3 linked regions of the Drosophila melanogaster genome follow. The protein of the gene in region 1 interacts with the protein of each later gene in a pairwise test. Each region holds a gene or a part of one and is shown on either strand. Other genes may lie near its edges. The genes, in order: CG2712, CG17855 and phol.

Evidence for each region.
Region 2: the proteins of CG2712 (region 1) and CG17855 interact in a two-hybrid assay, tested with the Drosophila melanogaster proteins (one large-scale study listed by BioGRID).
Region 3: the proteins of CG2712 (region 1) and phol interact in a two-hybrid assay, tested with the Drosophila melanogaster proteins (one large-scale study listed by BioGRID).

Annotation. Positions count from the first base shown.
Region 1 is NC_004354.4:2,730,578-2,734,331, forward strand, and holds the start of CG2712 (uncharacterized protein), read left to right. Parts: upstream 1-1,891; 5' UTR 1,892-1,987; coding exon 1,988-2,593; intron 2,594-2,653; coding exon 2,654-2,908; intron 2,909-2,978; coding exon 2,979-3,623; 3' UTR 3,624-3,754. Other genes in the region: ttm50 (tiny tim 50), read right to left, coding at 1-129, 189-312, 372-900, 957-1,140, 1,213-1,471.
Region 2 is NT_033779.5:9,538,566-9,542,319, forward strand, and holds the start of CG17855 (uncharacterized protein), read left to right. Parts: upstream 1-1,957; 5' UTR 1,958-2,078; coding exon 2,079-2,133; intron 2,134-2,187; coding exon 2,188-2,493; intron 2,494-2,552; coding exon 2,553-2,698; intron 2,699-2,752; coding exon 2,753-3,010; intron 3,011-3,068; coding exon 3,069-3,182; 3' UTR 3,183-3,754. Other genes in the region: Oatp30B (organic anion transporting polypeptide 30B), read left to right, coding at 1-89.
Region 3 is NT_037436.4:9,454,258-9,458,011, reverse strand, and holds the start of phol (pleiohomeotic like), read left to right. Parts: upstream 1-1,730; 5' UTR 1,731-2,274; intron 2,275-2,369; 5' UTR 2,370-2,472; coding exon 2,473-3,754. Other genes in the region: CG3552 (uncharacterized protein), read right to left, coding at 1-23; CG3437 (uncharacterized protein), read left to right, coding at 363-418, 477-650, 710-1,246, 1,332-1,614.

The sequences.
Region 1 (3,754 bases):
TGCGTTCCGCCTCCAGCATTTGTTCGGCCAGCTTGCGCTGGTTCTCCCGGAACTGGTTGATGGGATCGTCGAACTGGCGATAGTAGTGGAGCACCTCGCGCACGTCGTCCACGTTGTTCTGCGCAATTACTGTAGCGAATTGCAAGGGTCAGTGTTTAGCTTTCAATGTCACTTGTGGCGCAACTTACTCTTTAGGAAAGCGATAAGGTCCAGCAGTTGGCCATCATCGTCGTTGCCATGCCAGCGGGCCAAGCCGAATGTGTTGTCCGGATGCATCTTGGTGGCATTCGCATCCCAGTCCACAACAATCACCTAAAATACTCCCTTCTTTATAGATGATTGCAATAGAAAATACGTTGTGCATGACTTGCCTTCTTGAGGTCGCGATTAAGGTTGTCCAGGTTCTTCACATGATGGCCGTCCACAAAGTGCGTGGCATCCCTGACCAGGCGGTACATAATGTAGCCGTTGGGATCGAGGGCATCCAGGATGGGGAACACGGTCATGCCCTGTTCGGCGGTGAAGACGACAATTTCAAAGTCCTTGGCGCACTCGGCCAGAAAGTGGTCGACGCCGGGACGCTTCTTGAAGCGCCAGCCAGTTTGGTAAGTCCAGTCCGGATGCACCAGCACGTCCTTCATCTCCAGCACAAGCGTGTAGCGCGGCTGCACGTACGGCGGCTTGAGCGGATCGGGCAGCAGTTTGGCGCGCGACGGCTCCTGGATCATGCGCTGATAGTAGTGAATGCTCTTCCACATCCGCTGCAGATACTGCTGTACCAGCGGCTTGTGTGTGAACTCGTCCTCGATGGGCTGCCCGTTGGGGTCCACCTCGGGCTTGCCGAACTCGTAGACGGCCCAGAATCCAGCAGCCACGGCGCTGCCTCCGAATATTGCAAAGCTGCAGCAGGAAGTATTGTTATAATACTGTTACGCATTGAATGGGCGTCAGCTTACCCCAGCTTCATGCGCTTCCAGGCACGCTCGTTCTCCTTTTCCTCCTCCTCCTCGCGCTTCTTGCGCTCCTGCTCGGCGTTGCTGTCCACCTCCGGCGAGGTCTGAGGAAAGAGCTTGGCCAGCAGCGGGGCATTCGGTGCGACCTCGGGCGCATCATTGGGGCCAGTGGCTCCAGCTTCCTGCTCTGCGAAACGAAAGTGGCCAAGGATGAATGTTTAGGACTCTACTGTTTAGGACTCTACCGTGAATCACTTACTGGTTGTGCTGCTGTAGCCACGCGCTGTGTGCAGGATCGAGAAGAGCGCCGGAGCAGCCGCTGGCAGTGCTGTGCAAGTGAATAGTCGGAGGTACTGCTGCTGGTGGTGGAGGAGGTGGTGCTGGTGCTGGTAGTGTTGGTGGTAGTGGTGGTAGTGATTACCCAATGCGCGGTGCTGGTGGATGTGGGTAAGAAGACGCGGCGTGCTAAGGCCGCGCAGCAACTGGAGGACGGTGGCCGGTGCCATGCTCATGCTCATGCTTCCCCCTTCCTTCCCGATATCGAGTCCTAGAGCCGTTCACGAGTCCTGCTCGGATGGCAGCGACTTTTTACTTATAAAAAATTCCAACAAAAATTTCAACTTCCCACCGGCACGGCGTTGGCGTTAGGGATTTTATATACTGTCCACTGCCAGGCGGCACCAGGCGTTAGTACATTTAGCACGTGGCTCTCAGCAGGTATAGATCGGCGATTTTCAAGCCAAATCTGGCGGGATTTTGCAGATAACTGCGTGTGTACATATGTTGCCTCCGGCAATCTGACTAATCACAGTATTAAGAAAATTTTAAATTAAAATATTTTAAATAATATGGAAATACACAACCTTTGACCAACCACCAAGCCACTGTGCCTCTGGTCACTTCCAAGCTGATGTGCCTGGCTAGCTATTTTGAGTGCCACCACTAACGCATCAGCTGGACTTTGGCATCACTGTTCGGGACGCTAAATTAAGTTATTTATTTAAACGTGTATTATCTACTGTCGAGTTCAATCCATGACGACCATGTCGCCGCCGTCCCCCATGGACGCCTTGTGCCGCGTGTGCCACACAGCATCGCCGCGCTGCCTGCCGCTCTTCAAACCGCTCGACGATCCAATTTCCGGCAAACCAGCGACGCTGGCCAGCATTTTAAGCTACTGCAGCGGTCTGGAGATCCTAGAGGCGGAGCTCTTCCTGCCCCACCACATCTGCCCGGACTGCGTGGCCAAGTTGCGGCTCTCGCTGGAATTCAAGCGGAGTGTCCATCGCATGGACAGAATTCTGCGGCAGAGTCATGCGGACTTTTGCCGCAGCAAAAAGATCAGCGCGGTGAATACTAGGGCCAGGCTGTCAACCGAGATTCCGGAGGATTTTGTACTCGTGCTCGATGACCAGGAAGTGACTGAATATCCAGCAGAAACGATACGAGATGAGGAGCAACTCCTGGTCGTAGAATCAGATGAGGCGGAGAGCCGGCTGGAAGCGCCAATTGTACAGGAGGAGAGGCTGGATATTGCACTGGAACAGCACGAAGACGATCTCTGCGAGATTGTCGACGATCCGGATCCGGAGCAACGTAGGAGCAGGTTAGAAAGATCCGAGCCAGCGCTGCAATGTCCCGTGAGTTGCCTTTCCGAATTAGAAGTAAGTAATCACGAAATAGTTTCCCATCTTCGGCAGATTTGCGGCAAACAACTGGCTAGGAAGCGGACCTTTCAGTACCACATGAGGCTACATGGCCAGCCAAAAATTCGCCAAGAAGACAACGACCACTGCATTGAAGAGTGCCTCCAAGTGGAGCCCGTTTTGCAGGCCAAAGCTGGCGAAGATGTCTACGAGATTGTGGAGAAATCAGCACAGACTTCGGCGACGCAGAAAACTTTGCCCAGTGGAAGCCGGCCTTGGAAACCCCTCAATCCCTCCCTACAGTGTAAAGTAAGTTGGTCATCGCAGCTCGCAAATAACTCAAAGCCGAAGGTCATCAATTCTCCCTCCATTCCTTTAGATCTGTGGCAAGCAACTAAGCACCAACAACTCCTTCAAGTACCATATGCAGCTACATGGCACGGCCACGCCCTACGTTTGCACAATCTGCGGAGAGTCCTTTAAGACGCGAAACGCCCGCGACGGCCATGTCACGCTGCACGATCGTAACAATCCGAACAGGTGCCCCACCTGCTTCAAGGTCTACCGGCAGGCGTCCTCGCTGCGCACACACCTTCTAATCCACAGCGGAATCAAGCCATTCGAGTGCAGCATCTGCGGCAAGAGGCTAACACAGAAGTCGGGCTACAAGAAGCACATGCTCACCCACACGGGCGAGAAGCCGCACGGCTGCGACATTTGCGGCCGTCGCTTCCGCTACTCGAGCAATCTGATTGCCCACAAGCGCTGCCACAGCCAGGAGAAGCCCCACCCGTGCCCGGTGTGCCAGAAGCGCAGCTTCGGCAGCACATCCGAGCTCAACCGCCACATGCTCGTCCACAGCAGCGAGCGACCGTTCGGCTGTGAGCAGTGCGGCAAGTCCTTCAAGCGCCGCATCTCACTCGCCATCCATCGCCAGTCGCACAAGGCGGGCAGACAGCGGAGGCGGGCCGAGCATGAAGTGGGTGTCCAACTGGAGGAGCAGGACGAGAATGTGGAGACCTGAAGCTAGATCGCTTATACTATCGGCTTAATGTACAAATCGGGACATTTAGTTTTAGTTCAATTCGCTTTTATTTTCGGTACTTTCCTTCGCACAATAACAAGTTTTAAGTGTGTTCCTATTGTTAGGATAAA
Region 2 (3,754 bases), on another chromosome or scaffold:
CGCACCACAAGATCCAGATCGATGACGATCGTAACGAGCTCATCAACGATAACGATGATGAAGAGGAGGAGCGTTCCGCGTGTGCTTAGTGCTAGGCCATGTAGCTATAAGCTAGGATTTTCGATTTGTGGCAACATCAGCAATGTCTCCATTCCCGGCGGCAATCGCCTCATCGTACTTTGAGTGTATGTGGTTCATGCCCGTTTCCTGATGAAGTGACTCGTCCCTCAGCTGCTCATTGTACTTACGACCGAGTGTTCAAATCTACTAATAGAAGGCATCTGAAAATAGAAATCTTTTGATATATACAACATTCAACCAGAATTCGAATCCGAGTCAGATACGATTACGAATCCTTGCAGATAATATTTATGTAACCAGGCGATAGAATAGAAATCCTAGAAAGCAACTAGCATATTTTAAGGTAGGAGTAGATCGTTGTGATAGGAATATTTTGTATTGTATTTTAGTGGAGTGTAGATTAGATCCGTAAAAAGTCGATTAAGTGTTTGAAGTCTGCTGCATACGTTTCGCTTTATTTCGACTTTATGCAATCTCGGTTTCGAAGTTTAACGATTGACTGAGAATCAGTTGGCGAAAGAAAAGAGAAACGAATAGCGAATTACAATGTTTTAATAATCCGAACATTTAACCATTGTCAATGGAAATTGTGCTGTGAAACAATTTGTGAGTATAGAAAACAAAAATTAACGAAAACGTTGAATTAGAAAGAAAGTGAAAATACGCTGAATGTAATTCTTATGCAAATACATCATTTAGAGAATCTTTGTGGACAAAATAGCGATGGGTTCGAATGAAGAATAGGTCTGGAATAGTTTTATGAAAAATCCTAAATTCCCTGTTTTAATGGTAGCGAGAAAATCAAGTGTCTAGCCTAGATTTTAAAACCGAATGATGTACTTTAAATGCGATAATGCCTTAAAAATATCAATTAAATATACACGCGGATAATATCAGTATCTCAACTGAAATGGGAATTCAATCGATCCATCCGGTTGTTTTCCTACGCACTGCCCGAGTGCAAGACCCCCAGTAGTCCTAAGTGATGCAATCTAGGTTAATTAGTAGCAACTATTTCTATGTTTACACCAACCAGCCACATACAGTAGGAAAGGAGGCAGAGAGGAGCTCCTCGAGCACTAAATAGATACATCCATATAAGAAATATATGTATACAATTGTACGTTAATAAGTACCTACGCGTAGCTAATAATTCGTATCGGGATATGTGTTTGTACAACATAACTTATACATTATTGAAGAGCGATTTTAAAACGGACTACAGAAAGTGAGTCTTAGGTGCAAAAGATCATATATATATATATCATATATATGTTTACTCAAAAAGTGTGTTTTAAGGAATACATATTTTTACTTAGAGAAATATTGCAAATAAACTAATAAGGACATGTATGAAATGAAAACAATGAGACTCCTAAAATGAAAAACAAAATAAACCAAAACTGCATTAAACAAGTCAATTTGTTTTTTCTTAAAAGACATTATTTTTAACGAATTTTTTAGTTATTTGAAATTTTGGCACAGTGGCGCCCCTACAAGATGGTACTCGAATTAGGGAACTACATAAATGGTGTGACCATGATGTTTGCAAGTATCTTATATCCAAGACACAAACCTAACGTACTTTAAATATAGATAACATTTTTATTAAAAATTTTTTTATAAATTTGGTTCACCATATAATATTTAAATTAACATTGTTATTTAAGCAACAAGACGAGCAAGAAATAATTAATTTTTAACGAGCCTATCTTTTGATTAGCATTTCTGATGATTAATACAAAAAACTTTTTCCATCAATTTGGGTTCCACATAGGTAAAAAAAATAATAGTGTTAATTAAATTGTTAAGACTTAAAATTTGATCGATTCTATATGTTCGTAAGCAATCGAATAACTTAACAAAGTAACTCTGCCAGCGATATCCACGCAATTCAACTCGCTGATAGCTTATCTTTACTGTTTTCAGCAACAAAAGATTTTTCAGTAGCTGAGTAATTTTTACCACTACGAATTGAAGTAATACAAATCGAACAAATGGAGAAACGTGCTACATCTACCATGCAGGTTCTCTATGCAGAACTGGCTGCCGGTGCGTATGAGCAATGTCGTTGCGTATACGCCATGTATTGAAACTCCTTTGCAGCAAAGTCCAGAAGTGCGGAGCTGGAGGAGGAAAACATTTTGCTGCGCCATCGACTAAATCGCGCATCTGCCAGCCACAGCACCAATGCGGCCATAAATGTGGAGGCCAAGATCATGGTCTTCCAATTGGAGGAGGAACGAGATCGTCTGGTGGAAACACTGCAGAAGCACAAGAAGAAGTACAACAAACTGCATGACGCTTATCTGGAGAAAGTGAAACGTTGTCGTGCTTTGGAGGAGATGTTTAAACGGCAGAAGACGCTTACAGGCTTGGTAATGAAGTCCTCTTTAGATCAAAGAAATGCAGGTGTGTTAGGAAATGGAATTTTTGCTTAAAATTAGATCAATACTCTAAAAATCTACTAGAGCAACGAATGGCTATGGAGAAAAGGCAGTCGGCCCAAAGCGATGTCAACGAATTGAACGAGCTGAAGGCCAAAGTAGAAAAACTTCAAAGAGCCCTTGATGAGTCATACGACATTATTGACGAAATGGATTTTGAACTTGAGAGCGTAAGACGCTTTAGAACGTATTAGCAAGCTTAAGTAAAAATGATTCGTTTAAAGGTGGAATTACTGGAAATGCAAAACCAATCCTTGCGGGACGAATTAGCCGCTTTTAAGGCAAAATCAGAAGAAGGAGCGACCAGTCTGCCGGCCTCGCTACCCAACGATGACGACCCACCGCCCAAATATGAGGAAGACTATCCCGGACAGCATCATAAAGCTATGCAGGCCCGGCGCTGCTCCTCTAGCAGTGAATCTGACCCCAAGGATGATGATGCCGACGCAGAAACTATGGAAAGAGCTGCTTTAACCCATAGCGTAAGCTTTAATCCTAATTCTCATTAATTATATATGTCTGATTGTTCCTTGTATTCAGCTCATACAAACTGTGGAAACAGAGAGCAATGCCCTAAGACGGGAATTGTTGAGATCCCGCTGTCAAAGAACAATTCGCGCCAAGTTGGAGAAAGAAAGCGAGCCTGTTGATTAGGATAAGTGGCGGGATTAATCTTATCACATAGCTCCCAGCCAAAAACTAAACAACCAACCAATAGATCATAATAACAAGTAGCCATACTAAAGCTGATGAAACTGATCACTAAGTTTACGCACAGAGAGCAATAACTAGACGGCTGGACTAACCCAGATTCCGAACCAACTACGCCTAACCAGTGCACATACCAGAATTTGCTTTTAAGGTTCGACAAACACGCTCGGCGGCTGCGTTAAATCAAAACTTTTGCGATATAGTAACCCGGTTTCTTGGACTGCGCGCAGAGAAACCCCTCGTCTAATGGCGATTAATTAAATTATTTGCTAATGCCATCAAACGAGTTGCGGACAGATCACCTGCCAAAAGGATCTGGCCTCCGAGCTGTGAAGGTTCCAGCCCCCGACTTCTGCCCTCCCATCCCATTTCCAATTCGACGTGGTGCGCTATCCATTAAAACATGACAATTATTTTTATGACTTAATGCAGTCGGAGGCCTTGTTGCCCAATGCCTAATGTTGCAAATTATTGACAAAGTAAATTAATCTCCACATTTGTTGGTTGGACCAGAC
Region 3 (3,754 bases), on another chromosome or scaffold:
GCTGCGAAATGCCGCGAAAACATTTCGTTTTGTGCTGGGCAGGGAAAAACAAACTGAAAATTTAGTACAATTTTAAGGCCCAGACAACCTGACAACCCAGACCGCCCAGACAGCTGATTGCTGACTTCAGCGGCGTGGCAAGAGGGTTAAAAAAAAAAACGAGTCAGCGCGTTCGTTTTTATAAATATGGATCCTAATAAAGTCCCAATTTCGGAATTTTATTAGTTAGAAGCTGGCGTACGAGATTTAAGAAGCATATTTTATTTTCTGAACCCCATTAAAAAATTTGAGCTACGCCTTTGATCCAAAAGACCTGCATCCCTGGTTTGTTTGCTGCTGAAATTGGCTGCATTCATCAACAAATGGCCCAAGTTCGAGGATCTTGCGAAAGTTTCTGTCCCGATGGGGAGGCGAAAATGTAGGTAAACGAAATTTAAACCCGAATTTAATATAATAACACCGTTTAATACATTCAGGCGTATTCGCGAGAAGCTTTTGCACTATTTCGAGCTAAAAAATGGCCAGAAGAACAAGCCAGGAGTCCTGGTCAAGGAGTTTACACGCTCCGCCGCCGATGTCAAGATGCCCATGCCCAAGGAAATGCGCACAGAAGCGGCATTGACCAAAACAGTGGAATATCTGCTCAAGGAGCAAGTATATTAGGCGCTTAGTTAGCCAAGTTAAATCTGATAATTAATATACTGTGCAGCATAATCCTGGACACACGAAAGCCGTACAATGTGGCTTACGACTTCATATTCGATCGATTGAGGGCGGTGCGTCGGGAGATCGTGATCCAGATGTACGATGCCAGTCAGAAGATTTGCCTGTTAGAGCCCATTGTGATGTTTCTGGCATATAGTCGCTATCGCTTGTGTGAGGAGCCCATCGAGAAGTTCGATCTCAAGATATGCAATCAGCATTTGCAAGAGTGCCTCACGGGAGTGCTTTGCTGTTACGAAGAACTGGAGGACTTGGAATCATCTAGAGAACCCACCGTTCGTGAGCTTGAGCGGCGCTGCTTCATAGAGAGCCTGTATCAATTGTTTAATCTGGGTTCTCCCGAGTCCTTTACACGCGCCCTCACCTTACCGGACTATGTGCGTCGGGATGCGACGTTTAAGCTTTGTTTTGGGATCTGTTTGGCCTTCCAACAGGGCAATTTGTATAGAGTGCTCATGGGTGTGCCACAATTGCCGCATATTCTGTGCGCGGTAGCTGCCGCCAAGTTGCAGGTGATAAGGAGGTACAGTATAACTTTTTCTATTGGATCTCTTATTGACATGATGCATTTTTAATGTAAATACATATGTATGTATGTATATTTGCAGGAGTTTGTTGCAGATTTTCACGCATGCCTACAACAACAAACAGCTTACGGTGCCGGTTCCTTACTTGTTGCGTTTACTGTTGTTCGATGGGCCAACAGGATTGCAGGACCAATGTCGGCATTATAATATATCCTTAACAGCGGATAGGAAGGCGGTGCAATTTAATAAGACTGATTTTAACCACAATGCAGAGGTATTTACACCCCAACACGAGCGCTTTGTGGAGTCGAAGCTGAAGCGTATTTATATTCCAGAAGTTCTATTGCTAAAGAAATTTAACTAGTTATTTATGAGCAACAATTGTAAATAGCTCGAAATAATAGTAAAGCCATGGAGATTAATTTATTGTTATTGCGCATTTGTTTTCTTGTCGGGTGGCAACCCTGGTGGCAGAACAACAAACCTATCGCTTATCGAAAGACAGAACGCCGCGGTATTTACAGCTAATAAATGGTTTGCCAGTTGGAGGTTAATAAAATGCAATTTTTGAATAGTAGTTAAGATTACATTTGTGCTGTTTTGCGAAGTAATGCGAAGAGAATAACCAATCTCCGCTGAATAAACCGCTTAAGATATACACAAAGCGCGCGCAGGGTTGCATTGTGGCGCCTGTCGCTGCACACTACACACACACACACCCCACACACGCAACGCGAGAGAAAGTACCGAGCCGTTTCTGGAAAATACAATTCCGCCATATTAACCGGCAAAATTCAAAATATTTACACTGCCCGAGGTGAGCGGGATCGAGGTGGTCATCCAAAGCGAGAATTAACCCGCCATTGGGCAGCAGGAGAGTGGCGGGCGGAGCGGAGCGAGCGGTACGCATCATTCGCCGTCTGCCGCCGCCGTCGCACAATAAACGATAGGCATTGGCCACAAAAAAGTGGAAAAAGAGGTGGAGGGAAAGGCCAGTTCAGTGCAGCAATACCGACGAAAACACGTACGTTTGTCCACTTTGGAAGTCTGGCGAATATATAGAGATATATACATAATACGGATTTTTGGCCAGATACTAATTGCCCACTTTTTCCGCAGCGCGCTCGCACACACAACACTAACACTCACGCACGAAGCAAGAGCGCCCACAAATACAAGCATACAGATACAGGCACACAGACAGGCAGACGGAGCAGCCGCGATGACAAGTCATCATCATCACGTCGGCGTCGGAGGGAACTTCCAGCCTCAACTGCATCAGATACGAGCGCCCATCGTGAAGAATCTATCGCTGGCCGCTGCGGCGGTACCGTTGCCCCTGCACTCCGCCCCGTCGTCGGCATACTTCACTCATGCACACCAGCCTACGGCGGCTACCATAGTCGAGCAAGATCCGTACACCGTTTTGGCGGGCGATCCGATGGGCGAGGAAAGCGAGAGCTTCCTGATCGAGGAGATCATCGACGACTATGATGATGAGGCTAATATCGTCGTAGACTCAGGCGAATTCTTTGAGCACTATGAATACTATCCGGTGGATCGGCTGGACAGACTTACCTCGGTCACGGTGGCTACGGCAGATGCACTGCCGCCGCCGATCATCATGCAGCAGACCAGCGACGATGAGGAATTCATCGAGGAGGATGGACAGCAGATGACATCCTCCTGCGATGGCGATGGCGATGAGGATGATGAGGCTACCGCGCCGGCTACGACAAATGCCTTCGAGATTGCCTCCGAGATGCTAACCACCATCGAGGCCACAAACATCAAGGAGGAGCAGCTCGAGAGCGACTTCTATATGAAGGCGACCGAGGATTCAAACAGTTCGAATGGCCAGCTGCAGGATTTTAAGCTATTTGGAAGCAGTCGCGTCGAGAGGCCCATGGGAAATTCAGCGGCCAAGCGCTGGAAGCAAACAAAGGTACCCATACGCATAACGCAGGATGAGTTCAATGTCACCCTTTGGTCCTCGCTCAACTCGGAGGATGAGGACGAGGAGGAGGAGTTGGAGGAACCACCTGGTTGTGCTGGCACCACATCCGTGACGTCCTCCTCCGCCGCCCAGAATGAAGGATCACCCAGCATGCCAAAGCTTATTATTGACGAGCACATGATCAACCACGATGTTTTAAGCGATGGCATCGGCAACGAGTACGTCATCCTACCCGATCCATTCAGCGCCTCTGCGGTCACGGATGTGGAGGAGGTGGTTAATGCATTTATGGGCGATGTCAAAGGCGAGGAGGACAGCCAGCCGCTAAGTGAACAGTTGATCTATGCGGAAAACCAGTTGGAAGAAGCTTATGGTAACATCGAGCTTATCGAGAACATGCCGAATAATGTGGAGCTGATACAGACACCGGGACCAGGTCCAGCCACTGTGTCGGTAGCGCTATCGAAGGTCAACGGATGTGTACCGAATCCACAGCCGGCTCTCCCAAAACTAGTGCTCCAGAACAGCAGCACCAATGTGCGACTGA